Linked DNA regions of Stegostoma tigrinum. The protein of the gene in region 1 interacts with the protein of each later gene in a biochemical or structural test. Links are inferred from orthologs where the notes say so. Each region holds a gene or a part of one and is shown on either strand. Other genes may lie near its edges.

Region 1 (16,697 bases):
CATTGCCCTTGCAAGAAGTGACAACATTCAACTTGCCATGTTAATTGCTTGCTGAACTCATTTGTTATCGGTGTACCATACTGAATTGGAGCCTACAGTGCTCTCTGTGTTATGAGAATTTGAAATATTTAACAGTACTTGGAAGAAATTACACTTCATTTCAGAAACAAATGATCAATTCCTGTCTCAGTCCCAACTATGTCTTCTAGATCTAGATTTGACAGCCAGCGGAACAAACTTTCAACACCAAGAAATCTTCCCATTACAAAATGCTTCATTGAAAATACTTCTTGTTCTAAACTGCAGGCGAATATTGGCCAAATCCTACTCCTAAGATGCTGCTTGGCCTGCTGTGTTCATCCAGCTCTACACCTTGTTATCTCTACATAACCACTCTTCAGAGGACAAGGCCCTCGCACCAGGAATCAATCCAGTAAGATAAACATTAGGACTTATCACATGATCTGCATCTTGTAATCACCCTATCAAGATAAAAACCCATTCTTGTCACCCCCTTCCAAAACATACTTAAAAATGAAAGAAAAAAGTGAAAAGAAAATGGGGAAAGGAAAAACAGTTTATGGTCTATTATCACTTGCTGTTCAAAGCAAAATCCACAAGATGGATCTTTAATTCTCGAATATTCCAAAAGTGCAAGGAACATTAATATTCAGAAGAATAAATCTAATTAATGATGCTTTCAAGATCAAAACTACAGCTCACAGTTTTAAAAAAGTGGTATGGTGTAGCAGCCACTGAGTATCACTAGAACAAAATTGCCATATTTAATCTGCTTTCACAGAAATTATGTTGTTAATTTTATTTTGAAAAGCTGCTTGCATTCTATATTTTGTCTCATTAACAATATCATACATTTATTATATCTGCAAATCTTGTGTGTTACCCTTTATGTGGTAGTGACATTTATCACATCACAGAATTAAGTGCTTGTGTTTTATTGTATTTCATAGCACTTTTTAAAATGCAAGTTACTTGAAATAATAATTTAACTTTAACAAAAATGAAGCAAAAGTAACTACATGATTTTATCCTTGGAATTGTCAAACCTTTCAAAACAGTCTGAAATTGACTTCATAAAGATGGGTTTTCCATTGCTACGCTCCATACAAATGTAACAATGTTTTCTAATCTGAGTAAGAGAGAGAAGACTAAGCCATTTTGTAATATTTATTCCACAGGATGTGAGCACCACTGGCTAAGCCAGCATTGTTGTTCATCCCCAATTACCCTCATAAAAGGTGATGGTGGCAAGTTGCCTTTTTGAGCTGCTGCAGTCCTTGGGGACTGGGTCCCCCAGAATGCCATTAGGGCATGAGGTCTAGAATTTTGACCCATGAAGGAATAGAGGTATAGTTTTAGTTCGGGATATAGTGTGGTGCTGAAACAGAAACTTGCAGCTGATCATGTTCCCATGCACCTGTTGTCCTTGTCCATCCAGATGACGAAAAAGTTTGCAAGATGTCGCTGAAGATGGTAAAGGGGGCAGATGGTGAAAGTGGTGGATGGGCTGCCAATCAGGCAGGCTACTTGCCCTAGATGGCTGAACTTCTTGAGCATTGTTAGAGCTGCACTCATCCAGGAAAATGGAAAATATTCTAGCACATTCCTGACTTGTACGTTATAGGCAGGTCCTGGGAATTCATGAGGCAAAATTACCTGCCATGGAATTCTCAGTCTCTGGCCTGCTCATGAAACCACTATTTATTTGGAGGTCCATCTCAGTATTGGCTGTAAGTAACCCCCATGGTGTTACCTGTGGGGTTCAGTGATGAAAATGCTATTTAATAGCAAGGGTCAATGGTTAGATTATCACTTGTTGGACTGCATTACCTGGCACTTAACAAGTAGCAAATAACCAACGCATCACAAATCAACCCAAGCATTGTCCAGGTCTTACTTCATACGGATATGAACTGCTTCAGGAGCTGAGAATGAATATGGCAAAACAGTCCCACTTCTATACATATCCTCATTTACTCAGCCTTGCCATTATAGTTCTCAGCATTCTCTTTGGCAAAAGTTAGTGAACATAAAATCTTCAGTAGTTTGCTTTAATACCAGTATAATAACATGTTATTGGGAAAATGTTAGAATCTATTATGAAAATTGTAATACAGCATTTAGAATACATAATATGATCAAGTTGAGTCAGCATGGTTTCATGAAGGGGAAATCATGCCTGACAATTTTATTAGAATTCTTTGTGGGAGTAAAAAGCAGGGTAGATTAAAGAGGAAAAGTGGAGGTAATATGGTTGGATTTTCAACAGGCATTTGGTAAAAAAGGTGCCACAATAGTCGACTTAATCAGTCCTGAGTTCTGAAGAAAGAGTCCTGCCACCTTCCCTTACCCTTTGATCCCCTTACTAATCAAGTATTAACTTTGTCAATGTTTTTGGTGACATCACGTGGGGGTCAAAGTTAATACTTGATTAGTAAGGGGATCAAAGGGTAAGGGAAAGCTGCAGAAGAATGAGACTAAGAAACAGATCAGCCATGATTGAACAGCAGAGCAGATTCAATGGGCTGAATAGCCTAATTCAGCTCTTGTGACTTATGATCTTATAAAAAGATCTGTCCATAAATTTAAAGATGATGTCTCCTCAGTCACAAGTTTCTGTTTGGTTCTTTATTTGACACCCGAGGTGGCCAATTCTCACCTACAGATCTTTGCGATGAGGAACAGAATGTATAGAATGTTTTGTTTCTTTCTCTACTACTGTACTGCCTGATCAATAAAATGTGAGTCTAAGCATGGTACAACATGACAGACAGATTATAGCCATTTCAAATGAATGACAACAAGCTCCTCCCAATCAAAGTTAAATGTTTCCAAACTTCAGCGAGTCTTTCTAGCATGTTCTTTGCTCTTCCCAAGGCCAGCCATTTCAGAATGGCAAGAATAGGGCCAGACGGTGGAAAAAAAAGAATGCTTCACCATGCAGACAACATTCAGCCAATCAGTTGATTTCACAGGAGTTTTGCCTGAATGAAGGTCCTCCGATTAAATTCAGAGAAAGCAGTGGAGGCGTAGCTGGTGGAATTTCGCTAGCTCCTTACATATCATCGATGCAGAGTTTAGATATCACTTCAATTCAGGAGTGTGCTGACAACACTGGTCTGTACACTAGGCTTTTTGTTGACTTTCAGAGATCCCTATTGTCAGACACTCACTGCCTTTGTTTGTAGAAAGAGGAGCTCACCCAGAGAATCCGGTGCTGGATTTGCTCAAATATTCAGCACCTACCCCATTTAGAACAGTGGTAGTGTCATACCACACATTGCAGGCTATTTTCAATTTGAAGATGGGACCATCACTATAAAGGGTCACGACAAATGCTTCCATGGGAAAGGTACATCAGTTGATTTTTTCACTATCCCTTGTAGGTCCAGACTGGCAGACATGCTCTTCAGGACTCGGTCAGCAGTGCTATTAGTAAACCACTCTTGTTGGTTGGTATTGACATCCTCTATAAGCAGTACATTCTACATCTTTTCAAAGCAGGGTGCAACATAGAGGAAAGAGAGAGATAATGGGAACTGCAGATGCTGGGGGATCCGAGACAACAAATCGGGGAGCTGGATGAACACAGCAGGCCAAGCAGCATCTTCGGAGCACAAAAGCTGACATTTCGGGCCTAGGCCCTCCATCAGAAAAGGGGGATGGGGAGAGGGTTCTGAAATATATAGGGAGGCGGGCCAAAGATGGATAGAAGAGAGATAGGTGGAGAGGAGAGTACAGGTGGAGAGCTAATAGGTCAGTCCCAGGAGGGTGGACAGGTCAAGGTGGCGGGATGAGGTTAGTAGGTAGGCAAACCACCTAGAAACCAATGTCTATTTCAAGCCCACTGACTCCCACAGCTCCTAGAAAACACCTCCTCCCACCTGCAAAAATTCCATCTCCTATTCCCATTTTCTTTGCCAGCTGATTTGCAAAATGTGGGTTGAATTCCTGCACCAACTTTGGTTACTGTCAAGGACTCTCCTTTTCATTCTTTCTCATCACTTGAGTAGTGACCCTTAGGTTAAATTATCATTTGCCTCTTTCTAATGAGAGAATAGACCTATGGTCCAGTATGACTATGGCAACTTTATATCACTGTGCTGTCAACTCTGGTTAGTCTGTTCTGCTGTTAGCATAGAACCTAACCATGAATGGTAATGGAGACTTCTGGGAAACCAGCAGCATGGAACAGCCCCTGTATTAGCACAAATCTGCAGATGTTACTGAGAACCACTTTCCATGCTTAAATGGACAGGGTGTATCCATTGTTTTAGCTCAATGGCACGTAAACTGCCCCATTTTATTCTTGTCTGACTTTTCTATAAGTTTGTTGCAACAAATCACCAGTTAAGTCACTTCTGGGATAATTCAGGGATAAGCACATGTGAATTTAGGCTATTGCATAAAATACGGAGTCATGGGATTGAGGGTGATTGAACACTTTGGATCAAAAATTGCCTAGTTGGAAGACGACAGAGGGTGGTGGTTGATGGGAAATGTTCATCCTCGAGTTCTGTAACTAGTGGTGTCGCGCAAGGATTTGTTTTGGGGCCACTGCTGTTTGTCATTTTTATAAATGACCTGGATGAGGGTGCAGAAGGATGGGTTAGTAAATTTGCAGATGACACTAAAGTCAGTGGAGTTGTGGATAGTGTGGAAGGATGTTGCAGGTTACACAGGGATATAGATAAGCTGCAGAGATGGGCTTAGAGGTGGCAAATGGAATTTAATGCGGAAAAACCTGAGGTGATTCACTTTGGAAGGAGTAACAGGAATACAGAATACTGAGCTAATGGTAAGATCCTTGGTAGTGTGGATGAGCAGAGAAATCTCAGTGTCCATGTGCATAGATCCCTGAAAGTTGCCACCCAGGTTGATAGGGTTGTTAAGAAGGCATACGGTGTGTTAGGTTTTATTGGTAGAGGGATTGATTTTCCGAGCCATGAGGTCATGTTGCAGCTGTACAGAACTCTGGTGCTGCTGCACTTGGGAGTGTTGCATACAGTTCTGGTCACCGCATTATAGGAAGGATGTGGAAACATTGGAAAGGGTGCAGAGGAGATTTACCAGGATGTTTCCTGGTATGGAGGGAAGGTCTTATGAGGAAAGGCTGAGAGACTTGAGGCTATTTTCGTTAGAGAGAAGGTGGTTAAGAGGTGACCTAATTGAGACATACAAGATGATCAGAGGGTTAGATAGAGCGGACAATGAGAGCCTTTTTCCTCAGATGGAGGTGGCTAGCACGAGGGGACATAGCTTTAAATTGATGGGTGTTAGATCTCGGACAGATGTCAGAGGTAGGCTCTTTAATCAGAGAGTAGTAAGGGTGTGGAATGCCCTGCCTGCAACAGTAGTGGACTCGCCAACTTTAAGGGCATGTAAATGGTCATTGGATAAGCATATGGATAATAATGGAATAGTGCAGGTTAGATGGGCTTCAGTCTGGTTTCACAGGTCGGCGCAGCATCGAGGGCCAAAGGGCCTGTACTGTGTTGTAGTGTTCTATGTTGTAATCACATGTAGGTCAAACTAGGTGAAGTCACTAGAATTCCTGACACTTGGACATTAAAAAAAAGCCAAAGCATTACTAATGTGGTTATATTGTAATCAGCACAACTAATTATTTCATAAAATTCCAGATTTTAAGTAAAACTAATTTAAATTCCTCCTGGATCCTTTGTGCAATTTTATAGCAAATCTCCAAAGTCTTACTTGTCCAATAACATTTACCACAGCGCTCCCACTTCCCATCGAAAGAGATATCCCAATAACAGGGCAGTCAGACTCGGATGTTACTAGCAAGATAAAAGTTTTATTTTATAAAATAAAAGTATCCAGGCATTGTTTTTAGTGTCACCAATAAAAAGATTTTTGAGGAAACGAAACTGTTCCCTAATCGCGTAGAACTAAAGAAGAGACATTCTCACTGTGTCCAGATTTGTGTAGTATTCAGTCCATTGAATCAAATTTGCATTAAAGGTGCTTTCAGCGTTTTCAAAAATACGTTTTTTTAAAATTCAAGGAACGGCGGATACCGGTGATCTGGAGCAAACAAAAACACATATTGCTGGAGAAACTCAGGTCTGACAGCATCTAGAGAGAAAAAACCCGATAATGGGTCCCTGCGTTCGACAAGTCAAATCGTTTCTCCCCACAGATGCTGCAAACCTGCCGAGTTTCTCCAGCAATCTCTTTTTTTTAAAATTGAATTTCTCTCGTCTTTCCGGATCAAGAGACAAACAGCAAAACTTGAAACCGTGCAACTCAGAAGGTAGAACTGTATTTTTTAAAAAACTATTCAAACTTGTGCAGGTATTTTTATGCCTGTTCCCGATTTTGCTAAAGCCACAGACGATCCCAACCTCTCTCACACAACCTGCACCATTAAACACCTGCTCCGCACTACCCGCTTCGAGGAGATCGCATTAAATGTTTACCTTTGAAAAAGAAAACTAAACAAACAAGGATTGCTTGCCACAAATGAAAATTACTTCAAACTTTATCGCGCAACATTGACTTTAATCTCAACGGCAGCGGGAAATTAAATGTTTACTGGAGCTTCCGAATCAACACAGGAGAACGGAAGGAAGGTGGAGAAACTGATTTTTAAAATGAAACATTTAAAAGAAATGAGGATAGGACTGCGATAGTGGTTTTCCTCCTAATTAGTATTATCGTGGGGCTTGGTGCGCAGCGCGCTGTCGACTTTAACACTTTTTAATTTGGAATGAAAGTGGTATCCAGGAGATTGTAACCATTTTAAATGGCTACAATCTCCCCAACACTCACCTTGCTGTAAAGTTCCGAGGCTGACATGTCGATCTGTACTTTGTCTGCCTTCTTCCTCCTGCTGCTGAAGCAATGGGAAGATGGACGTGTGGCCACCCCCCAGCCGCTTTAGTTACCATCCACATTGGACATTAGCGAAGCGATGTCTCCATTAGTCGCCATTTTTCCTGCTTTTCTGCAGCGACCTTTCACTCAGGTGTAAAGTTGGTGTCAAGATCTCCGCCCCTAGGCTTTAAGCCGCTCCCCGACCTGGTGCTTTTATTTCTAATTCGGGGAAAGTGGGATTTATACTAACAGTAAGAATCACAAATGACTCCAACAGACGCGCCGTGCGCGCTTTGCAACGGGAGAGCGAAAACAAAACGAAAAATGCTTGCGTTTGTAGAAAGCTTCGCAAGGTGCTCTGATTTCCCGTGTCACTGAAACCAAGCTTTTCCCCCAGGAGGCTCTGGGAACGGGTGAGCCATCTGCTGGTGACTTCCGCGTTTTGAGATTCCGCGCCAGTGCCGGCTTGAGGACTGCGACAGTGTTTGCACCTGTCTCTTCCCCTGCGGTGGTGATCGCTGCTTCCCCAGCCTCTGTCCTCTTCCAAACCTAGCCCGGGCTCCTGTCTTCCCCTCACAAATGCCCTCTAGTTTCCAGCAATTGAAGAATTCTTCAAGTAATTTACCCTCCATCTAAAATAAAGACAGCAGGGCTTTAAAACAAAGCTTTTCTACCTCTACTTTGCACACTTTTATTTGTTAGATGTGCAAAGAGTAAGAGACTGGGGGAAAAGTCGTTCCCATTGTCAATGTAAAGTCTGGCTACCTGAGGGGCTTTGCGGTGAAGTGCTCAACCGAAAGGATGTCATGAAGTGATCAATAGCCTGAGTGTGTGAGCTGCCGCCCATATCTTTTCTATGTGGGTTCTTTTGGGACTGACATGGTCTAGTGTCTGTGAGGGTAGCTGTCGTCCGGTCTATTGAGAACAGTTCTGCAGAGTAAGCAAGATGCAGATTATTGCATCTCTGCAACCATTTGCAAATGATAACAAGAGGATCATTACTGCAAAGGCTGTTGAGAGGACTTCTCTTTAGGTCTGGTTCTCACAAGAGCCTCATGACATCACCGTAGCGAATGATGCTTATTGCGCTCAAGAGTTTATCCTTACAAACCCATACACAGCACTTCACCTACGACGTTTTCTTTCCGATAACTATTATTGTCACGTATTTGTTTATACAATTAGATTTACCACCTCTCCAACCCCTCCCCAATGTCAAGTACAAATTAGGACAATCTCGTGTTTCTCTATTCTCCTAGGATGTCTTCTTTTCAGACTTGGACGAGGTATAAATTGTGGTTAATGAAGATCTGAAACAAAAACAAGAAATTGCTGGAGAAGCTCAGCAGGTCTGGCAGCATCTGTGGGAGAGATGCAGCGATAATATGTCCAATGTACGGACAGTGTGGATTTTTAAAGGGGAAACTGTTTAACCAGCTTGTTGGAGTTTTTTGAAGAAGTGATGGACAGGCTTATGGCGTATTGATGGATTTCCAGAAGACATTTGATGCAGTGGCTCACATCAGACTTGTAGGCCATGTGTTATGAACCAGACCAAACCCCTTCAAGACATGTCAAGGATATAGCCCAGACCCTAACTTTTTTTGTTGTTTTAAAGACAAATGCCAGGTGTGTGTTGTGAATGCATTTCGATTGGTCAAATTATCAGGCTTAAAGCGAAACACACTTTATTCATGCACTATAGTTAAAATACAGTCAAAATAAAAGAAAAGAATTGGCTTAACTTTAACTCTATCAAGATAACTAACAAAATTAATAAGCTAGCCATTAACTGTTCCAATCCAGTAACATTCCATAATCACACCTTTGGCAAAGTTAAAGTCAGTAAAATAGATTGTCTCACAAGCAGCTCTATCAGCAGATCGAGAATGCCCAGCTTTTAGCTGTGACAGAGAGGGGAAAACAGTTTTACCCTAACCCTAACCTTATCACAGCTTCAAGACCTCAGCAACTGCTACTGAAAGTTGAAGTTAAAACCTTAGTGCTGTGAGTGCTTGATTTCACCCATTCAGGCTGCTTCTATTGTTCTAATTTTTAAAAAGCCCCAAGGCCTCCTGTTTATTGGTTTTGAACAGACTGCTGGACACCTCTGTCTCAAACTGTCCATTTAAAAAAAAGAACAGGATAACATAACCCTCTTAAAGTCAGAATATCATCATACTTGATTTAAAAGGAACAGTGGCAACATGGGTATGAAATTGGCTGAATGATAGAAAGCAGAGAACAATGATCAATGGATATTTTTCAGGCTGGAGGAAGGTTTGTAATGGAATTCCGGAGGAGTCAGTACTGAGACCCTTGATTTTTCTGCTTTAAATGATGCGGATCTTGGTGGACAGTGGGACAATTTCCACACATCCAGTTAACACTTAACTCAGAAGAATTGTTAGTTGAGAGGAGGACAGTGTGGAACTCCAAAAGGATGGCAATAAGTTGGTATAGTGGGCAACTGGGTGGCAGATGTGGTTCAATGCAGAAAAGTGGTGCACTTTGGTAGGATCTTTTCGTGGGGAGCAGAGATCGTTAGTCCCCAGCTTTGATCTGTATCAGTTTTCCTTGAACTCTTCAGGGTTACCAGCACATGGATTAGATTCATAGAATCCCTACAATGTGGAAGCAGACCATTCAGCCCATCAAGTCCAAGCTGGCCCTCCGAAGACCATCCCACCCAGACCAACACCCCAACCCTATTCCTGTAACCCTGTTTTTCTCATAGCTAACCCCACTAGCCTGCACACCCCTGGACACTACAGGCAATTTAGCTTGGCTAGTCCACCTAACCTGCACATCTTTGGACTGTGGGAGGAAACTGGAGCACCCAGAGGAAAGCCACACAGACACGGGGAGAATTTGCAAACTCCACACAAACAGTTGCCTGAGGGTGGGATCAAACCCGGGTCCCTGATGCTGTGAGGCAGTAATGCTAGCCACTGAGCCACTATTCTTGTGTGGTATGCAATGTCATTTGTATGATGAAGTCCACATTCTGGTATAATGAGTACAGTCTTGCAGAGTAAATTAAATATCTCTTATTGCATCTCTGAAACTGTTTACAGGTTATAAGAATATGAGTCAGGGTCATTTGGTTGAAGCACATTCAGAGGGTTTGCCACAAAAGCTTTTGCCACTGGTACATGGTGAAGGTAGAACATGGGGCCTTACAGCAGTATATCCACCCCCCTTGACTCTTCATCGCTGGCAAATATGACTGACTGCCTGGCATTGTGTCTGAACAAAAAGCAGGTGAAATAAAGTTCTGCAAGCCTATACATTCGGAACAAGGTGGCAATGCAGGAAAGCACAAGGCAAGGCAGAGATGCTTTAAGCATCCAATCAAGCACAAAGAGAGTGAGCACTGCAAGGGTAAGATAACAGCTCTGACTCAATGCACCCCATACAAATGAATAAGGAGGGTCTATCTCTGTACACAAAGCAATCTGGCAGCACCATTTCAATAGAAAGATCAGCACTCTGAAGTACAGTATGAAATGGTGAGCTGTATATTAAGTGAGTCGGAGATGTGCCATGATGGTGTGAGACCAAGGCTTGGTTGTGCCAGCCTCTGTGGACAAAGAGTACAGAAAGTCACTACTTGTGGAGTGTACCCTGAGGTGTTGGGGGGAATGTTGGCTAAGATAGAAGCTCAGAGAAGACACTAACAAGCCTCTGCCACAGGTAACCATTCAGACTTTCATTTCAAGTCCAGTTTCTCTCCACTGCCTAGAAAGATAGTAACTCAGACAAAAATAAGGTGAAATTAGGTGATGATGCAATTTTTTAAATATCTATTCATCATGGCATATGGGCATCGCTTGCTGGGCCAGCATTTCTTACCCATCTATAGTTGATCTTGAGAGGATAGTGGTGAGTTCCCCTCTTGAACTGCTGTTGTCCATGTGCTGCTGCTAATGTGTGCAGATAGGTGCCAATCCACTCACTAGCAAGATTCCCATCTAGTCATCCCATCGACACTTCATCAGAACTGAAGAGAGATGGAAATCGAGGTGGATGGTAGATGAGGCAAGTGGAATTAAGATTCACAGAAGTTAATGGGCAAGGGAGAACTTTCATGACACTGGTCAGTTTCCACAGGAAGCTGATCATCTGGTTTGCATTCTAACTCCTGCTTTTGTTGGATCCTTTTCACCAATTCTGGCCAATTTGTCCTTTCTTTTCATCAATTCTGGCTAATTTATCCATTGTTAGTGATTGGGGACATTAGGACTAGTTGTCATGATTGGACGTTCCTGATCTCTGTATCTGCCAATGCAATGCACTTAACTGATTGAGCCTTTAGAAGTCTCTCAGACCAATGGCAATGTATGAACAGACAAATACTGATCGAAAGCCTAGTGTATGAGAAATACCACATCCATTTTAAATATCACTGAATGATGAATGGCAACATTTTTCTTTGTTAAATCCGACATTTATACAGCACCATTCAGCACCTCAGGATAACACATGCCACTTCACAGCCAATGAAGTATTTTTGAAGCATAATTGCTGTTGTATACAGGATGCATGGCAGCTAATAAGTAGACAGCAAGCACCCAGCAAAGAAATAACTAGTTTGATTATCTGTTTTACCAGTGGCAGTTGAGGGCTAAATATTAACTAGATGTGCTGTTTTCTTGAGTTTTTAGCACGATGATGGTTTTTGACAGTGCGTTAACAAAAAGTGTGTTTAAATGTATGTGTAAGTCAGCATAACTAAGCATGACCTACATTAAAGGTGGTCTAATGTTGCTTTAATTTTGAACCCCAAAATCTGTTGTTTGACTTAAATACCTTAATATAAAGTTCTGGCTCAGTGAAATACCTCTTTTGTTCTGAAACAGGCAGTATTGTTTTGAGCAAATTATTATTTGTGTTTCATATAGTAAAGTGAACATTTGCACTCCTAATGAGAGTTGTATGGACTTAGGTCTGACAGAGATCCAAAACCATACAATACTGTACAAAGTGTTAGGGCAAAGGGCGAGGTTGGTAGGTGTATGGAATGCTGGATGACGAGAGAAATTGAGGTTTTAGTCAAGAATAAGAAGGAAGCATATGTCAGGTTAAGACAGCAGAGATGGAATGAATCCCTAGGAAAGTATGAAGGCAGTGGGCGTATGATTAAGAGGGAAATCGGGAGGGCAGTAAGGGTCATGAGATAGCTTTGGCAAATAGGGTTGAAGAGAATCCAAAGGGATTCTACAAATGCTTTATGAACAAAAGGGTAACAAGGGAGAGAATAGGGCCCCTTAAAGATCAACAAGGCTAACTATGTGTGAAATCAGGAGATGGGGGACAGATGAAATGAGTATTTTGCAAAAACGAGTGTTTTTGGTGGAAAAGAATATGGAAGATAGTGAAAGTGGGTGATTAAATAGCAACATCTTGAAAAATGTCCAAATTACAGAGGAGCAGGTGCTGGATATCTTAAAATGTATAAAGGTGGATAAATCCCCAAGACCCTAGAACACAGTGGGAAAATAGAAAAAAGTTTGCTGGGCCCTTTGCTGAGATATTTTTTATCAGCGACAGCTGCAGGGGAGGTGCTGGAAGATTGGAGGTTGGCTAACATGATGCCATTATTTAAGAAAGGTGCTAAGGTAAAGCCAGGGAACTATAGACCAATGAGCCTAACATCAGCAGTGGGCAAGTTGTTGAAGAGAATTCTGAGGGACAGGATTTACATGGATTTGGAAAGGCAAGAACTGATTAGGGAGTCAACATGGCTTTGTGGGTGGGAAGTTGTGTCTCACAAGCTTGATTGAGTTTTTTGAAGAAGTAACAAAGACGATTGGTGAGGGCAGAATGATGGACATGATCTATATGGACTTCAGTAAGGCATACAACATGGTTCCTCACGGCAGACTGGTTAGCAAAGTAAGATCACATGGAGTAGAGGGAGAACAGATTTTGGATACAGAGCTGCTTCGAAGGTAGAAGACAGAGAATGGGGATGGAGGGTTGCTTTTCAGACTGGAGGCCCGTGACCAACAGCATGCCACAACGATCGGTGCTGGGTTCACTGCTTTTCATCATTTATATAAATGAAATTGATGTGAACATAGGAGGTATGGTTAGTGAGTTTGTAGATGACACCAAAATTGGACATGTAGTGGTCAGTGAAGAAGGTTATCTCAGAGCACAAAGAAATCTTGATCAGAAGGGCCAATGAGCCAAGGAGTGGCAGATGGAGTTAAATTTAGATAAATGTGAGGTGTTGCATTTTGATTAGGCAAATCAGGGCAGGACTTATACGCGTAACGGTAGGGCCCTGGAGAGTGTTGCTAAACAAAGAGGCTTTGGACCACAGGTTCATAGTCCGCTGAAAGTGGAGTCACAGGTAGATAGGACAGTGAAGAAGGCATTTGATATGCTTGCCTTTATTGGTCAGTGTATTGAGCATAGGAGTTGGGTGGTTGTGTGGCAGCTCTACAGGACATTGGTAAGGCCACTTTTGGAAAACTGCTTGGATTTCAGGCCTCCCTGCTACAGGAAGGATGTTGTAAAACTTGAAAGGGTTCAGAAAAGATTTACAAAGATGTTGCCCGGGTTGAAGGGTTTGAGCTATAAGGACAGGCTGAATAGACTGGGGCTGCTTTCCCTGGAGTGTTGGAGGCTGAGGGGTAACCTTTTAGAGGTTTATAAAATCATGACGGACACAGATAAGGTGAATAGCCAAGGTCTTTTCCCCAGGGTGGGGGAGTCCAAAACAGGGCATACATTTAAGGGACCAAAGGGGCAAATTTTCCCACTGAGGGTGGTGCACGTAGAATGAGCTGCCAGAGAAAGTGGTGGAGGCTGGTATAGTTGCAACATTTAAAGGGGATCTGGATGGGCATATGAATAGGAAGGGTTTAGAGGGATAAGTGCCAAATGCCAGCAAGTGGGACTAGACTTATGGAAGTTATCTGGTTGGCCATGGATGAGTTGGACCAAAGGGTCTATTTCCATGCTGTACAGTTCTAAGACTCTATGACCTGGGAATTTTTACCTTCCTGGGCTTTACCCCGATGGACCTTAACGGTCACTCACCTGAATATATTGGAAATCACTAATTGACCAGTGGACAGGAATGAGATCTTGGGCAGTAGGTGACCACTACCAGAGAATCAAAGGAATGGATTTTGGCATTCGGGTAAGTGCTGTGAGTGGGAATGTATATCTGGGATAGGGCTACAATAAAGCTAACTGTGATATCTGAAGGAACATACTTTCTATACCTTCCCTTGCCAACAAATCAAACTACATTTCTTGGACTCTTCTGGCCCCAGTTTAGTTTGGCAGGGAAGCCACATTAGTCTCCTCATAGAGATCTTCAATGATGATTACTATAAAGTCCTGTTCACATTCTCAGTGTTTGATCTTCATATTTGAGAAGAATTAAAGCATCATACTTGTGTGACAGATAGAGAAGGCAAAAATTACAAGCCGCAGCATGGCAACAGAATTGGAAGGATATGTCATTGTAGCCATTGCTTACCTTGTCTGCCAAATGTGTTAAAATCACCCAGCAGAGTCTGATTTCTAAAGTAACTTGCTTGTTTTGGCTCCCAGAGGAGGTACATTAAAATAATTAATTTTATAATCATAGTCATATCATTTGTATAATTAGTATCTAATTAATTTTTAGCTACAACAAAGCTAAATGTCAAAACTCAAACTCACTCATGTATTGCTGATTCCTTTTACTCTGTTTGTTTACACAGGGACGTAGCAAAAGCTAGCATTCATAAGCCGCTTTTGCATTTCAATCAATTTAGAAAGGCCGAGTGTTCCTCAGTTCTGAGGAGGGGCCACTGGACCTGAAACGTTAACTCTGATTTTTTTCTTCACAGATGCTGCCAGACCTGCTGAGCTTTTCCAGCAACTTCTGTTTTTGTTCCTGATTTGCACATTTACGGTTCTTTCAATTTTTAAAAAGGCTGAGAGTCTATTCGGCTGATTGACTGTACACTGAGATTAATGAATAGCATTTTGTTGGGGTTATTTTATGTCTTCAAGACACTGTCCTCCACTTGAATCCAGTATGATACAAGTACAGGGTAGGCTTGGCTTCTTGTCTTATCCTAATACTCAGGAACAGTTGGCACTGCACCCTCAACTGCACTGTGTGCACAGTATTGATTAATCAGATCTGAGGCCATATTAAGAAATAACTCTCCTTTATGTAAAGTAAAAGTCAGACCTGAATGTTGTTGTTGTGTTATGTTAGAAGATGTTTACTTCAACACAACTTAGCTTGAGTTTGAGTTGCCTCTGGGCATTTTGTGCGTCGTTTTCTTTTGTTCAGTCAATTCATTAGTATAGATGTGTTAAATTATTGTCCATGTAATATGAATATAAATATGTGCTTATTTAAGAAACATGGGCATTGGAAATTCTTAGAGTACAACACAAATATAGTCATATTTTTGTTTATTCATTGAAGAAGTGTCGGTAGATAGGCAGCAGAACTTCAGCAAATAAAAAGAAAATGATTTAGGACTTTATTCAGTTTACCTTTTCAAGGAATATGGATGTCAATGACAGGGCCAGCAGTTATTGCCCATCCCTAGTTGCACTGGAATAAAGTGGCTTGCTGGGCCCTTTGAAAGAATAGTGAAAAGATTGTTGTGAATCTGGAGTCACATATGGGCCAGACCAGGTAAAGAAGACAGTTTTCACTCCATATAGGGCAATCATGCCCCAGGTAAGTGTTTACAAAGTTGTTGATAGTTGTCATGGTGACCAGCACTGAAACTAGGTTTCCATCCAGATTTTATTAACTGAATTTCAATTCCACCAGCTGCCCTGATTGGATTCAAAATTTGTCCCCAAAGTATAATGTAAAGACCTTGCCTTTGTATTTTTCCGACATTTTTGATGGTGGTGTGAAATCAGAAAAAGCCAGAGCTTTCAATGATTGCCGCATGACTTCAAAGGATGTAACAAGAAACATAGACATAGAAACATAGAAAATAGGTGCAGGAGCCGGCCATTCAGTCCTTAAAACCTGCACTAACATTCATGGCTCATCACATAATGTCGTGGTCCCATTCCCACCCTCTCCTCATACCCATTGATCGCTTTGTCCACAAAGGTATTGTCCAGCTCCCTCTTGAATATATCTAATGAACTGGCCCCAGCAGCTTTCTTTGGGAGAGAATTCCACAGGGAATTCCACAACTCTCTGAGAAAATAAATTCTTCCTTATCTCAGTCCTGAATGGCTTACCTCCTATTCTTAGACTGTGACACTTTGGTTTGGACTTCCCCAACATCAGGAACATCCTTCCCACATGTACCCTGTCCAGTCCAATCAGGATTTTATATGTTTCTGTGAGATCCCCCCACATTCTTCTAAATTCCACTGAGTACAAGCCCAGTCGATCCAACCTCTCCTCATATGTCAGTCCTGCCATCCTGGGAATCAGCTTGGTAAACCTTTGCTGGATTCCCTCATGAGGAAACCAGAACTGCACACAATACTGAAGGTGTGGACTCACCAAGGCCCTGTATAACTACGGCAAGACATCCTGACTCCAATACTCAAATCATGTTGCTTTGTAGGCCAGCGTGCCATTAGCATTCCTCACGGCCTGCTGCACCCACATGGCAACCTTCAGTGACTGTTCCACCATGACACCCAGTGTTGTCTCATGTGCTTTACAGGCAGATTGTACTGTACAAGTGCATCAGGGTAACATGAACAGAATGCACGATACAATCTTCTGCTGAATGGAAGAGGGTGAAAAAGAATATAACCTGGGTAAGAGGGGTCAAAGGAGTACAGAACTTATGCACTGTCAAAGATGTTGTCTAATAAATGAAATGTTTGGA
Region 2 (16,655 bases), on another chromosome or scaffold:
TCTCATTCTCTCCAAGATTACGCATTGGATCTATTTTTCTCATTAGCCTGTTCAGAGCTGTTATTACACACCTCTGCAGCAGGTTGAACTTCAACCTGGACCTCTTGGACCAAAGGTCGGGACGCTACTCCTGCGCCACAAGGAGGCTAAAGATCATTCATTGTCTACAACATCAAATGAGCTTATTATCGAGCATGGCCTGTGTACAGAATTATACTTAAATGTTTCGCAAATGAAATCCTGGATCACCTCCACAAAAGCCAGTGTTTCTGCAATTGAAATACTTCTAACAATTCTGTTTCATGTTTTAGCACTCCCTAGCTCAAAGGGCAACGTTTCCCATTTTTATACCATAATAAGTACTATGGAATTAGATGCATCTGAAGACCCATTATAAGATTTCTAACTGAAAGGTCACTAAAAATGACTAGTTTCATGCTGTATGGTCATCCACAGATAGGGATTTCCGTACACATTTCTCCAGATTTTTTTGTTTAAAAGCTGAAAAATTACAACTGAAAATTAGAATATGGTGGATGCTGGAAATTTGACATTGAAAACAATATACAGCTACAAACTCTGCTGATTAGAGTGCAAGGGCAGGGAGAGACAAATTTAACATTTCAGATCTGTGACCTTTCAAAGCTGAGAGAGCTTAGACAGCTAATATGTTTTGATCATGGGGTAGAGTGGGCAAGGACAAAGGGAAGGTCTGTGATGGAGTGAAATAATAAGTCAGGAGAGATTCGATGACATAATGTTAATCTATTAGGGTATGCAGATAGGTAAGCAATGAAACAAAAGAAACAAAAAAAAAGTGCCTAGTGCAGGTGTGCTAACTGCAAGGTAAGAACTGTAGCAAGGAAAAGAAACAAAATGGAGATCCTTATAATCATTCAATTCAGTGCTCAGTCCAGAATGCTGTAAAGTCTAATCAAAGTTTTTAGGTATTGTCCTGAATCTTACAGATAGGGTCAGAGGAACAGGGCTATAAATCAGAGGACAGAAATGTCAGTACGAGCCCAAAGGTAGAGAATTAAAATGACAAGCTAACAGAAGCTCAGGGTCAAGCTTGCAGGTGTTCTGCAATATACCACATAAAATCAATGTACATCATGAAGATGCAGAAAAGTCCTCTTTTATTGATACAAATAAAAGATCAAGAGGCCCACTTTTTATTGAACACACTCAGAGAATAGGATCTAACCAAAAATACCTCTCCCTGGAAGCATCATTCAAGCCAGTAACCTCTGCTTAGTTCCCACCGTTTTCTTTCTATATCATTGAATCCCTAGCATGAAAACAGGCCCTTTGGTCCAACAAGTCCATAACAAGGTAGGACCTTGCAGCATTCTACCCAGACCCATCGCCCTATAACCCACACTCGCCTGAACACTACAGGCAATTTAGCATGGCCAATCCAGCTAACCTGCATGTCTTTGGACTGTGAGAGGAAACCAGCGGAAATTCATGCAGACAAGGGGAGAAAGTGCAAATTCCACACAGGCAGTCACTCTAAGCTGGAATTGAACCTGGGAGCCTGGCACTGTGAGGCTGCAATGTTAACCACTGTGCCACTGCCTTTTTATCTGGGATAAGAAGCACTTCTCTGAAAACGGTCATCCTACAGAATTCAAATTTTTTGATCAACATTTTCATGAATATGACACCAAAAGGTCTATTTTTTAAAAATTACTCTTTCACCTGTCTAAGAATCCACCTTGACATATCTAACACCATTTTAGCCTCAAGAGTTCCATAAAGGCTAGTTGCCCCTTGTGATACCCCAGAGTAAATTACTAATTCTCTCCAATTCACCAGTTTTATAAGCAGCTACCAGAACTTCATTGCGGCATCAATTGCAGTACATGCCGGTCATTCAAAATGGCAGATTGACCCAACTGCACAAGAGACCTCTGAAGTCAACTGAATCCTGTTTCTTCAATAATAGTTAAACAGTTCTCAGAACTTTGGTTTCTGGAACTCTTATTCAGATTATGTTGCATTCTAAAAGAAAAAAAATTGAATTCAGTGGAATGTCTGAAATCACGGTTTTCATTACTAGTTCCGATACAACTTACATACCAGATCTCAATGGGTATAATGTTGAATCCTGCTCAAAACACTGACCCCATATCCTCATTTTGGACAAATTGCTCCCTCAGCAACAATGTGCAAACATTGATTGTAAAACAACAATTCATGTGGCACGCAATCGGACAGGTACACTTCTGCAATAACAAGGTGTACAGCTATATGAACTTAGCAGACCAAGCAGCATCAGAGGAGCAGGAAAGCTGATGTTTCTGGCCTAGACCTTTCTTAATGAAGAAGGGTCGAGGCCTGAAACGTCAGCTTTCCTGCTCGGCCTGCTATGTTCATCCAGCTCTACACCTTGTTATCTCAGATTCTTCTGCATCTGCAGTTCCTACTATCTCAAATACACTTCTGCATTGGGAGTTTGAAACACTGCAACTCCAACTTGTGCACCGTATACCATCCTTGAGATTGCAAAGGCCACAGAACAGAGACAAACTTCAGTATCATGAGAATGTTTACTTCTAGTTCTGTTTGGAGGTTGTTCCTTGATTTTCATTTAATTGTGCAATTTAGACAAGCAGTGGCCTTTACTCATTCATTTGTCTATCAGAAGTACTCCTGAGAGGTCACCCCCTTGCACTATTTTTCTCTGCTGTTATCATTGTGTGACTCAGGAATTACTTCTAGACTCACTTGCATTGTGCTTTTGTATTTGCCACACTTTCACCCCAAACTGCCAGCACAAATGAGCAGAAAAGATTTGTAGTGCCTTCTGAACTGGAAAATTAAATCAACTAACAGAAGGCAAATTGACATCTCGCCTACAGACCAATTGATACAGACTGTTTCAACCACCTTGATTGAAATATTTGTATGAATCATCTGCCTTTGTTACTGGCAACTTACAGTCTGGTTGGCTAAATTTTTCTGCAATATTTCAGTAGTTACTAATTTCCTTTCGCAGTCCATCACTAAAAAGGAGTCTTAGCTACAGTATTCAAAACCATCACATCTAAGACTGAGCTCATCATGGGCAAATTTCCCACCATCAGTTAGACTCTTAATCAGGGCACCAAGGTCAGTGTGTATTTCTTAATGAGTATGTCTATGATTACCTGTGTTCTTAAAAATTATTATAGAAAGAGAAAATCTGGTCAAGTCTACAAAATATAGAATAGAAAAAGTTCCATCTTTGTCTCATGACTTTATATCCTTAGCAGCTACCTCATTAAAGTCACAAGCCTATGTCAGGCTTATAATGGGATATGGCAATGTCCTCAATTGAACAAATAAAATTAATACTGACAACAAATCTCTCGTTATATTGGTATTGGGTTATACTTTACAGTCTTCTGGAAACTATGCAAAATTCAACAATTTCAGATTCCAATCTCTGTACTGATTGCTTCTATTTCTAGCTCTTGACTGCATTTGGGCAGCAGCACACCTGTTCTGCGAAAATACTTGTTTCCTTTTTCTGCCCCATCACTACTCCATTTCATCGAAGAATGGCAGCGCAGAAAGACGCAACTTGGCTCATTATGCCTGCACTACCTCTATAAAACTAATACCAATCTACTGCCATTTCCCCCATCTTTGCATTTTATTTGGAATCAAATAATCATCCAATGCCATCTTGAATGCCTTAATCAAATCTTCCACAACTACATTTCCAGATACTGCATTCCTTACCCCGAGTACTCACTGAAAGTAAATGTTTTTTCTGACATCATCCTTGCTTCTTTTGCACATCATTTTAAATCTATATTCTCAATTTTTTCTTTTACAAGCAGGAACAGCTTCACTCTACCTACTCTTTTTAGCCTTCCTTTTATTTTGAAAACCTCTACCAAATCTCTAAATTAAATTTTCAAACCTAATACATTTCTCAGTTTTATAAGCTGGAAAAGTTGTCAAAACGTAGATTATTTCACTCCCTGCTGCTTTCAAACATGTCCTACAGATTCAGTGTCCATAGGTTTTGCTCTTGCATCTTCCAATGGTGCCTATCTTACGTACAAAACCATTATACTGCATGATACATTCCTTTCTAAATCAACCTTACATTTTATGCTCTAAACTTCACATTCTGCTAACCTCTTGTATTTTGCATTATTACTTGTTAACTCATAACTTACCTGCATTGGCTTCTGGTCCTGCATTTCTTTAATTTCAAATACTTATCGTTACTGTAAACTTTGAGTCCTCACACTTCACCATAACTCAAGGCCTGAAGGCCTCAGAACTCCTTGTTCTTTCAACTCCGACTTTTTATGAATTCATTCCTTTACATCGCCACTTACAGATGCTCCTTCACCTATCTACATACTTGGGTCTGGAACTCCCTCCCTGAACTTCCTTTAATCAGTCCTCTTTAAAATCCACCTAAGTGTTTCACATCTTTCCCAACATCATCTTTGGTTTGATATCTCAATCTCCCCAGTCAGAAATCTTGGGACAATTTTTCTACATTAAAAGGCACTTTGCAAGTCTGTATCATTGAATGCAAAATTCTTCCACCTGAGCCATTTTATTGTGTACCAACTACAGCATACGCCTCAGAAACTTTTTAACTTCAACAGTTTCTTCCAGTTTATTGGCTTCTACTGCTACAAAGGATAACAGCAAAATCAAAAGGAATAACAGCACTAGCAGCTGTCCCTCTGAATTACATATCATACTAACATCTGTTTACAAGGACTGGCTAAATACTTGGTACTTCTCTCATCTAACACAACCATGGGAGCACTGAAAGTCAACAATCATTCATTGATAGGCCATTTCAATCTTCTTAAAGAATTAAATGATGGATCAAAAATTCCACCCTTAAAATATTGATAATACTTACACATTAAGAAAACCTTTGCTTGGAATGATCAAAACAATGAAAACTTACCAACACCGTTTATACAATAGGAAATTAGATTATTCTCAGAGATAATAAGTGTTCTTTGCAGTTCATTTCTCTTCTTTCATTTAGGGTGCATGTACTTGTATTCAAATACCTGGGTGCAAAGGATTTACACTTGGGAAGGGAGAAAATACTCATACGAAGGGAAAAATATTCAAAACAAAAACTGTTGCATATGAATGCATTTCAAATCTTAGAAGAGATATTTAGTTGACCAGATCTCCTTTGGCATTAATCACATTGACAGAAAATGAGGGTTATGGAAATTATTTCAGCAGTAATTTTTACTGGCATTTAATCATGATTTTCTAGTCCTTGCACCTGTCTCAGGGTCTCAGTATTTTGAGGGGGGCCCAAGGTAAGGATCTTCACCGATGATTACATAATGTCCAACATCGCAGGCAGCTCATCATATACTGAAGCAGTACATGCTCAAATGTAACAAAATCTGGACAATATCCAGGCTCGGATAACAATTGGCAGGTAATATTTACACTACACAAATGCCAGATAACAGCCATCACCAGTAAAAAGACAATTTATCCAACACCCCGAGACATCCAATAGCATTAACATCACAGAATCCCCATAATCAACATCCAGGGGGTTACTATTGATTAGAAACTCAACTGGAATCACTATATAAATACAGTGATTACAAGAGCAGGTCATAGGCTAGGAATACTGTTGTGAGTAACTAACTTCATTACTCCCCATATCGTGTACACTATGTACAAGACACAAGTTAAGAGTACGGTAGAATACTTCCACTTGCCTTGATGAGTGCATCTCCAACATTACCCAAGAAGCTTGACACCATCCAGGAAAAAGCAGTCCATTTGATAAGCACATCAACAACCATCTACTCCCTCCACCATCAATGCTCAGTAGCAGCAGCATGTAGTATATGATGCACAGCAGAAATTCACCAAAAACTCCTAGGAAGTACCTTCCAAAACCACAATCTATTCCATCTAGAAGGACAAGGACAGCAGATGCACGGGGAACTCCATTGCCTACAAGTTGCCCTACAAGCCACTCACTATCTTAACTTGGAAATACATTGTTGTTCACTTACTGTTACTGGGTCAAAATCCTGGAATTCCCTTTGTAAGGCTATTGCAGGCCTACTGACAGCACATGGATTGTAGCGGTTCAAGAAAGCAGTTCACCACCATCTCAAAGGTAATTAGGTACAGGCAATAAACGCTCCTAGCTGGCAACATCCATGTTCTGTGAGTGAATACAAAAAGAATCCTCAAAGGATCAGAAATGGACGGGAGGGATAAATGGAAAGGAACCTGAATGCCTTTGATTCTTGTTGAAGTAAGCTTCAAAACCCCTTCCTTCAAATGTATTCCTTCTCCACCCAGTCAGCCTTCTCCCTGATCATATCCATGTTGCATCTTTAATAAAAAAAGAATTCCAGACCATTTTCCTTCATTATCAGTTATTTCCAGTCTTCATGCAACCGTTTTAAATATTTGATCAAACAAATACATGGACAAGACCATGAAATTCAGGAGTACTGAAACGTATTCTAGTTTAAAATGAGTGAATTTGCCCATTTGTGCAAGAAACTAAACTTGCGTAACTGAAACAAATCACTTTATAAATCTGAAGCTTCAAATTAAGAGATTTAACTGTTTTTAAATCATTATACCAGTGAGTAACTGAAACAAACATCCTGTCTGGCTAAATTGTTTCCATGTTCTTCTCTGCCAAGAAATAAAACCCACACTTGTTCTAATTACAGATGTTGCCTGGGTGTTTCAAGCATTAAGGCAACTGACAGGCTTTCCAGAAATTTAAAAGTCAAGAATTCTCTCTCCAATTCTTTCCAAAATCTTCTGAATAAAAGACAGAAACTCTTGAATTCTGAGTTCAACCTGAGTGTGGAGCAAATGAGTGTAAGAAAGTCTCATTCCATGGAAGCAAGTCCTCTCTGGTTTCATATGAAGTCAAGACTCTAGATTTGGACTGCCTTTACTTCATTAATTCTTCATTGCATTGTCACATAAACACACCGATTTTGATTTTGGTTAGCATATTTCATTAATGTTTTGGAATGAAAAAAATATTAACCGTTTTGAAGCATTAAAAAGGATAAGCTTTGCTGATGCTGAAAGTATAAATGAATACAGAGCAGTGTAACTTGGATATGGAAAGAGTAGTGCATTGATATTTCACCAAAATAGACAACACGTCTATATTTTAATAGTCAAAAACATACACACTGTTCCATAGTTGCATACTCGTGTGGTTGTATTCTTTGTCCTTTTACCTTATGCGGATTGCACAATAGGACAGCAACGTTTTTTTAAAAACGAGAAATGAGCAGCTGGTGCTTTTATGCAATCCCAATCACACAAAAATTCCCCAAGTATACTGACAACATCAGAATTGTTTTCAACCTGCTGCCAGTCTTTTGTTTGGGCAGGAGGTGGGGGTGGAGGGGTGGGGGGGTGTTGTGGAGGTGGTGTTGGAGGTTGAGTCGGTTCAACTTAGAGCATTTACACCTCATACACAAGTCAAACACATTATGGACAAACTACGGATGCATACTGAATTATTGTAAATGCAACATCATGAAGATTAAACGTGAACAACTGAAGCCCTAGATGTCTTCTAACTCAATGGCAGATTTATACAACCCAACACACTACAAAAGGGGAAACACTTACTCCTTTTGCCTCCTCGATTTGTTTTCAAAAAGTTCATTGAGGCAGATGGCTACCTGACCTAGGAATTTATCCAGCCCGACTAGGGAACGGTGCATGACAATCAGGTGGAGGATGTATTTCTCTGGAGTCCCCTGCAGCAGTAGACCAGGAAACTCGAAGGACACCTCCTCTTTCCATATCGGGCACAAGGTTTTCTCCGCCACCGAGGTCGAATATTTCTCCTTGCCCAGCTGGATGATGGTGTACGTGTCGTTGGTGCCGGTTTTGCTTTTGGGGTTGAGATCCCGGGCTTGCAAGACTGTCACTTGGACATGGGTAGGAAACCATGTCTGCGACTGCTCCGACAGCATCATCTACCTATTTCTTTTCGTTTTGTTTGCTTCGCTCGGTTATCTCATTGAAAGCACGCTTAGTCGGCGAATATTTAAACTCAAAGGCGCCCCGACCGCGCCGCCTTCACACTCCCTCACTGCTGCCGGGACATAAAAGGCCGAAATGTGATGAGAAAGGCCGATCCCGCTTCACCTCCCATCCTCGCCGCCTCCTGGTTGCGGGGGGGGGGGGGAAGGGTCAGAGGTGAGAGTTGAAACTCTTCCCCCGTCTCCCATAGCAACGCACTCGGCTTCGGTAACCCAGCGGGCATTTGCCCCGGGGTGTCAACTACAAGGCCAGTATCTCCAAACCGATCTTCGAGGTAAGCAATGTATTTACAGTTTTATTTTTGAAAAAAATATATATACACACACCTAAATAAACCTGATGTGCAGAGAGATGTCTGTGTAACTGGAATGAAGACGGACGTTATTTTTTTGTCATCGAATAAACCTCAAAGGTGACAAGAAGGATTGAAAATCCCATTTAAACAGTTGCGTTTTGCTTTCTCTTTTTTCTGGATGTTGGCACACGTGAACAGAGGATTTATAGTTTCCTTTAAACGTGCGGATGCCCCTTAACCCAGCGTGCAACCACCACCCCCACCCCACCCCCCAATCCTGCAGCTCTCGGGATAACCAACACAGCTTTTCCAGCAACTTTGTAGTTTTTTTTTATTCCTGATTCACAGCATCCGCAGTTCTGTCGGTTTTACTCGGGATAACCAAATTTGGTGAATTCCTTGCCTTTTCCGCAGGAGACATTGGCAACATTACCCGGCAAGCAAGATTAACTTCAAGCAGCTAACAGAATTGTATTTTCTTAAATTGGCAATCCAAATTTGAGAGTTTTAGATTTTCCCAGTGGAAGTTAGGGGATAAAAAAACTTCAAAAGAAGATTACATTTTCTTTAACAGCCCCTGGTTCCATTTAGGTAGTGACAATGATGTGGAGATGCCAGTGTTGGACGAGGGTGGACGACATCAGAAGTCATACAACGCCAGCTTATAAACCAACAGGTTTATTTAAAATTACAAGCTTTCAGAGTTGTACTCCTTTGTCAGGTGAACTGTTGATTATTGTTGTATCATACTTTTTGTCATGAAATTTCATGGTATATTGGTATTATTTGGAAATAGGTTGAAAAGTGGACTGAACATTTCATAGGTTTAAAATTGTTATGTTTAAATAAAAATCAAAGTGTAGAGCTGGATGAACACAGCAGGCCAAGCAGCATCTTAGGAGCACAAAAGCTGACGTTTCGGGCCCAGACCCATTTCTGATGAAGGGTCTAGCACCGAAATGTCAGTCTTTGTGCTCCTGAGATGCAGCTTGGCCTGCTGTGTTCATCCAGCTCTACACTTTGTTATCTCGGATTCTCCAGCATTTGCAGTTCCCATTATCTCCTGATACAACTTTATTTCTACATTATGTTTTTAGCACGATTTCAACCCAAGGCTCCACCTGGACCACTTTGAAAGTTTCTTTTTAAATGTTCCCTGCTGTCGGAAGGATGTTATGAAACTTGAAAGGTTTCAGAAAAGATTTGCGAGAATGTTGCCAAGGTTGGAGGGTTTGAGCTGTGGGAAGAGGCTGAATAGGTTGGGGCTATTTTTCATTATGCATCAGAGGCTGAGGCGTGATCTTATTGAGGTTTATAAAATCAGAAGGGACATGGATAGGTTAAATAGGCAAGGCCTTTTCTCTGGGGTAGGAGTCCAAAACTAGAAGACATAGGTTTACGGTGGAAAGGAAAAGATTGGAAGGAATCTAAGGGGGAATGTTTTCAAACAGAGGGTGGTGTGTGTATGGAATGAGCAGTTAGAGGAAGTGATGGAGGCTTGTACAGTTACAACATTTAAAAGGCATCTGGATGGGTACATGAAAAGGAAGGGTTTAAAGGGGTAGGGGCCAAATGCTGGCAGATGGGACCAGGTTTATTTGGGAAATTTGGTTGGCATGGACAAGTTGGACCAAAGGGTCTGTTTCTGTGCTGTACATCTCTATGACTCTGAGGAACTGTTGGAAATTCACTCTGTACACCCCACCTGCACCCTAAAATCCAAGTCAAGAGTTCCCCAAGCTGTAGATTGCATGCTGCCTGTCCTTCAAGGCACCAATGATGATTGTGGCAATGAGATTTGCCTGGTTGAAAGGCTGTTGGGAAAACCCTGATCCTACTGGATCATTGCTGTTAAAAAGCAAAGTTAGGCAATGAGTCCAAAGTACTCTTTAACCTCAGTGTCCAGTGGCCTCAGGATACTTGTGTGCTAACTAATTGCAGACAAAGTAAGGTGAAATTCAGTGAAAGTTTGTTTGACAAGCCCAGGATGAGGGAAGAATAAGTAAGCTGGGGTTCTGAGGAAGGGCCACTTGACCCGAAACGTTAACTCTGATTTCTTTCCGTGGATGCTTTCAGACTTGCTGAGCTTTTCCAGCAATTTTTTTCCCAGTTTTTATTTGGTTTAGCATATTGTTTGTGACTAATCATTAGATATATGATGTGGCTTTTAATGTTTTCTGCTGGAGTGATGTTGCTGATCACTTTTTATTGGCTCATGTTAAGATTCAAAGGAAAAAAAAAGGTTCAAGGTGGCTGTTACCTTGGCTGCTTTCAGCAGCGCTTTCCCTCTCCTTCATACTCTTCTCCTTCATGTTGCATCCCACCTCTTCCCACCCAGCATGCTCACTGCAACATCTGGCAACACCCTGTCACTTGCTGGTGTGTCGAAAAGGCTCAGTTTTAATTCTGAGTAGGTGAGTGGACTTTCAATGAATTAAAATTCTGCCCATATTCTCAGCTATGAAATTCAGTCAATTCCTATCAGCTCAATATATTTGGGTATTTATGCAAACATACTTGTCCTGCAGCGATGCCCAACTTTATGCTCTGTCCTTTGCTTCTTCCTCCAAGTGGCATGCAAAGCTCCTACTTGGTACTACTCCTCCTTATTCTTTTTTTCACTCCTGATAACTGGGCAATGTTGGCTGGGCAAGCATTTGTTGCCCACCGCTAGTTGTCCTTGGAAAGGTGATGGTGAACTATTTTCTTGAACCACTGCAATCCATTTGGTGCACCATCAATGATAATAGGGAGGGAGTTCGATTTCGGATGTGACGAGTGCTGCACTAGCTGTTGCTAAAAAAACTCCCACTAAACATTGCATTTTCAGCGCCACACTGTTTTAAACTGGTATACAAAGCTGAGAATTTCCTCAAATCCTGCTATTTGCCTTGAGGATGAAAATCCAAGCTTATATAATAGTTTCCTGCTCCTGCACTCTCCTTCAACTTTACACTGAATAACAAATCCAGCCAGGTTACAAATTCCTCTTTGGATTATTATGCTGTAGTTCCTATAATGTGTTTCACACGCTTCAATAAGCCCTGATATGCCTTTTAACCTGAAAGGCATAATATAGATGTGAGTCAAGACTTTTTTCCTTTGAACTGTTGCTAAACACTGACAATAAACAAACATAGTGAAATGTGTGATCTCTCCCACCCCTATTTTTTTTTCAGACCTCATCTGAGAGCCAAAGTGAAGTCACTCAACCATAACATGCAATCATCAGTGATAAGTATTCCTGGAAATCAAAGTAATTTCTGATTTGGGGTCAAGCACTTAATGCTTGAATGATGGTGCCAACCTGTCCTTTACAAAAACTCAAAACAATCTATCAGACACTGAATGAATATTAAAATGCAGTGAAATCAAACACATTTAAAGAACATCAGAAAGGATTTAATCAAATTTCTATGGTACTGAGAAATCTGAGATAACATGTAGATATAGGCTGAATAAAAAGGTAAATAATAGCTAAAAGAAACAGGCAAAAGTCTGTAAAGAACCAGGACATGAGGAACATGATTCAGCTTGAATGTAAACAGTACCTAAGGATTACTAAAATAGAAATCTGGAAAGTAAAAAAGAAATTAGAAAGGAAAATTGCAGTGGTTTATCAAGGGGAATAAGAAGTTTTTCAGTTATGTTCACAGAAGGCAGAGGATTAGAGAACACTTTGGGCCTCTAAAGGATAAGACTAGCAGATTAGTTGTGGAGGATCAGGGCATGGATGCATTTTTAAATGTGTTCTTCAGTTTGGTTTTCGCAAGAGAGGATTCCTGATCCCGTAAATAAGATGACTGAGAGAGCTGGGAGTGTTTAGTGAAGATAGATATTATTTGAGGAATTGTTATTAAGGACCTGAAGGCCTGACTGCATACATGTGGGAATTCTTGAGCAAGCACAAGAAGAAACAGCAGACGCTTTGGCAGAATGTTTTTTAGCTGCAGGAGAGCAGGTATAACACCAAAGAAGATGGTGATGTGGTTCTTACTGTTGAGATTTACACAATAATATTATTTTTGCTGAATGCTAGTATGAATTTAGGAGGCATCACTAAGTTAAGAGTAGTGGAGATGTAGTTGATGTAATACATAACCTAGGTGACCAACATGTATTCAATAGATTTATTGGGAAATGAGTTACAAAAGCAACACTTTTAGGATTTAAAAGAAAAGCAATGGACAAAATATTAAGGAACTTTTTATTTAAGAAACAGGATAATGGAGTGATTACCTGGCTGAAGAGAAATAATCTTTGAGGCAGTGGTATTTAGGCAACTGCTTGGAAATGTGCTAACTGGGAGACAGTCTAACTGGGAGATATTCATGGAAAGCCATATATTGACGGTACTTGCAAGGTTCAGGTCAGACTAATGACATGAGAATTTGAAGAAAAACTGGGATCTAAGATGTGATTAGATTCATCTATGGTCAGAAAGGCAGTTTCGAAGATTCTCTTGACATTGTTAGTGACAAATATGTGGGAATGTAGAACAATTGAAATATTAAAATTTCATTTCTGTCCAATTCAAAATGAAGTAGGTAACAAATGTAGTGGGATTAATCGAGAAATTAACTACACATATTATGGCTATAGAGTTTGTTATTTCTCACTAATGCCTGTCTAATAAAAATTGAACTACCTCCTGTCGAAAGCAGGGCCTGCCATGTTTTACTGGCATTGCAAGGAGGTTTCAGGCACTATTATGATCCATGCAGACATATTTTTGTGGGGTGGAAGCAGTGAATTTGAAAACATTGTCATAAGAGAACTGAAAACAGAATTCAAAATTTGAAGTAACAAGGTGTAGAGCTGGATGAATACAGCAGGCCAACCAGCATCAGAGGAGCAGGAAGGCTAACTTTTCGGACCTAGACCCTTCTGAAATGGGGGAGAGGAAGGGGATTCTGAAATCAGTAGGGAGAAAGGGGGAGGCGGATAGAAGATAGAGGAGAAAATAGGTGGAGAGGAGACGGAAAAGTCAAGGAGGCAGAGTTGGAGTCAGTAAAGGTGAGTATCGGTGGGGAGTCAGGGAGGGGATAGGTTGGTCCAGGGAGGACGGACATGTCACGGAGGCGGGATGAGGCTAATAGGTAGGAGGTGGTGGTTGGGGCTTGAGGTGGGAGGAGTGGATAGGTGGGAGGACAGTTTAGGGTGGCGGGTACGAGCTGGGCTGGTTTTGGGATGCAGTGGGGGAGGGGAGATGTTGAAGCTTGTGAAGACTACTTTGGTACCATTGGGCTGCAGGGTTCCCAAGCGAAATAAAAGATGCTGTTCCTGCAACCTTCGAGTGGCATCGTTGTGGCACTGCAGGAGGCCCAGGATGTCATTCAAGGAGTGGGAGGCAGAATTGAAATGATTCATGACTGGGAGGTGCAGTTGTTTGTTGTGAATCAATTGTAGGTGTTCTGCAAAACAATCCCCAAGCCTCCGTTTGGTTTCCCTGATGTAGAGGAGGCCGTATTTGGAATAGCGGATGCAGTATACCACATTAGCAGATGTGCAGGTGAACATTTATTTGATGTGGAAAGTCTTCTAAAGGCCTGGGATGGGGGTGAGGGTTGAGGTGTAGGGGCAGATGTAGCACTTCCTGTGGTTGCACGGAAAATTGCCGGGGCTGGTGGGGAGTGTGGAGTGGACAAGGGAGTCACGGAGAGAGTGGTCCCTCCGGAAAGCAGATAAAGATGGGGAGGTAAAAATATCTTTGGTAGTGGGGTCGGATTGCAGATGGCGGAAGTGTCGGAGGATGATGCGTTGGATCCGGAGGTTGGTGGGTTGGTACGTGAGGATGATGATGCCACATCTACCACCACCCGGTATGCCACTTCCGGTACAGCAAACGCCATCGACACCGCTGCTGATGCTGCAGCCTCCATTTTCGAGGCCAACACCACAGACATCAAGGGCGACGCTACTGCCGCCACCAACACCCAAGATTTACTGGCCTCCAATGCTCCGCCCACCACTGATTACGCCCCACCCACAGGCAACTGCTGATGCCACTCCACCCATTGCCAGCAACTCCAGAGGAGACAGCAGCATCCAGCCCTGCTGGATCTTCACCATTCTCCCAGAGCTCCCCCTCACGGAGGGCGAACAGTCAGTCCTCAATGAAGGGCTCACCTTTGTTCCCCTCCACCCAAACAGCAATGAATACAATTCACGCTTGGACATTGAACAGTTTTTCCACCGCCTCCATATCGGCGCTTACTTCTTTAATCGTGAGTCTAATGCTCCCTCTACTGACCCCTTCTCCCGCCTCCAACACAACACCTCCTCCAAGACACCACCCCCAAGTCCTCCTACCCTCCCTTGACATCTTCATCTCCAACTGCTGTCACAACATTGATCGCCTCAACCTCTCCACCCCACTCAGCCACTCCAACCTCTCCCGCACAGAACATGTAGCCTTCCGCTCCCTCCACTCCAAACCCGACCTCACCATAAAACCCGCGGACAAGGGAGGCACAATTGTGGTATGGCACACTGACCTCTACATCGCCAAGGCCAGGCACCAACTCTCCGACACCACCTCCTACTGCCTCCTTGATCGTGACCTCACCCTGTCCACCAAAACATTATCTCCCAAACCATCCACAACTTCATCACCTCAGGTGACCTCCCACCCACAGCCTCCAACCTCATCGTTCCCCAACCTCGCAGTACCCGCTTCTATCTCCTTCCCAAATTCCACAAATCTGACTGTCCTGGTCGACTCATTGTCTCCATTTGCTCCTGCCCCACCGAACTCATCTCCACTTATCTTGACTCCGTTTTCTCCCCCTTGATCCAGGAACTCCCCACCTACACCCATGATAGCGCCCACACCCTCCATCTCCTCCAAAACTTCCGATTCCCTGGTCCCCAACACCTCATCTTTACCATGGACATCCAGTCCCTATACACTTGCCTTCCCCATGCAGATGGCCTGAAGGCCGTCCACTTCTTCCTGCCCCGCAGGCCTGACCTGTCCCCTTCCACCGACACAATCATCTGCTTAGCTGAACTCGTCCTCACCTTTAACAACTCTTCCTTCAACTCCTCCCACTTTCTCCAGAAAAAGGGGGTGGCCATGGGTACCCACATAGGCCCAAGCTATGCCTGCTTTTTTGTAGGAGACGTAGAACAGTCCCTCTTCCGAAGCTACACTGGCCCTATCCGTGACCTCTTCCTCTGTTACATTGATGACTGTATTGGTGCCACCTTGAGCTCAAACAGTTCATCCACTTCATGAACACCTTGCACCCCAACCTTAAGTTCACCTGGACCATCTCCGATACCTCTGTCTCCCACCTGGACCTCTTTATTTCCATCTCTGGCAACCACCTAGAAACCGATATCCATTTCAAGCCCACCGACTCCCGCAGCTAACTGAGTACACCCCCTCTCACCCGCCTTCCTGCAAAAAGGCCATCCCCTATTTCCAATTCCTTCGCCTCCGCCGCATGTGCTCCTGACATGAGGCATTCCACTCCCGGACATCCCAGATGTCCTTGTTTTTCAAGGACTGAAACTTCCCCTCCAGAGTGGTTGGAAACACCCTTGACTGTGTCTCTTGCATTTCCCGCAGCGCATGCCTCATAATCTCTCCCTGTAATAACAACCAAAACAGAATCCCCCTCATCTGCACATACCACCCCACCAACCTCTAGATCCAACGCATTGTCCTCCGACACTTCCACCATCTGCAATCCGACCCCATCACCAAAGACATTTTTCCCTCCCCACCCTTACCTGCTTTCTGGAGGGAGCACTCTCTCCTTAACTCCCTTGTCCGCTCCACGCTCCCCTCCAGCCCCACCACCCCCGGAACTTTTCCCTGCCACCGCAGGAAGTGCTACACCTGCCCCTAGTGGGTGCTATCACGGATGTATGTGGGGAGGTCCTGGATCAAGGGGAGAAAACGGAGTCAAGATAAGTGGAGATGAGTTCGGTGGGGCAGGAGCAAGTGGAGACAATGAATTGACCAGGGCAGTCAGGTTTGTGGATTACCCTCTCACCCCCATCCCAGGCCGTAAGAAGACTTTCCACATCAAACAGATATTCACCCGCACATCTGCTAATGTGGTATATCGTGTCCGCTGTTCCCATTGTAGTGTCCTCTACATCGGGGAAACCAAATGGAGGCTTGGGGACTGCTTTGTGGAACACCTACAATTGGTTCGCAACAAACAACTGCACTTCCCAGTCATGAACCATTTCAACTCTGCCTCCCACTCATTGAATTACATGTCCATCCTGGGCCTCCTGCAGTGCCACAACGATGCCACCCAAAGGTTGCAGGAACAGCATCTCATAT

Evidence for each region.
Region 2: the proteins of myo5b (region 1) and rab11 family-interacting protein 2 form a complex in vitro, tested with the Homo sapiens proteins (2 studies listed by BioGRID). The link is inferred for Stegostoma tigrinum from reciprocal best matches to the Homo sapiens genes MYO5B and RAB11FIP2.

What each region holds. Positions count from the first base shown.
Region 1 is NC_081354.1:158,439,834-158,456,530, reverse strand, and holds the start of myo5b (unconventional myosin-Vb), read right to left. Parts: upstream 7,242-16,697; 5' UTR 6,841-7,241; coding exon 6,814-6,840; intron 1-6,813. UniProt on the Homo sapiens protein: May be involved in vesicular trafficking via its association with the CART complex. The CART complex is necessary for efficient transferrin receptor recycling but not for EGFR degradation.
Region 2 is NC_081373.1:19,053,498-19,070,152, reverse strand, and holds the start of rab11 family-interacting protein 2, read right to left. Parts: upstream 8,177-16,655; 5' UTR 7,989-8,176; coding exon 7,636-7,988; intron 1-7,635. UniProt on the Homo sapiens protein: A Rab11 effector binding preferentially phosphatidylinositol 3,4,5-trisphosphate (PtdInsP3) and phosphatidic acid (PA) and acting in the regulation of the transport of vesicles from the endosomal recycling compartment (ERC) to the plasma membrane.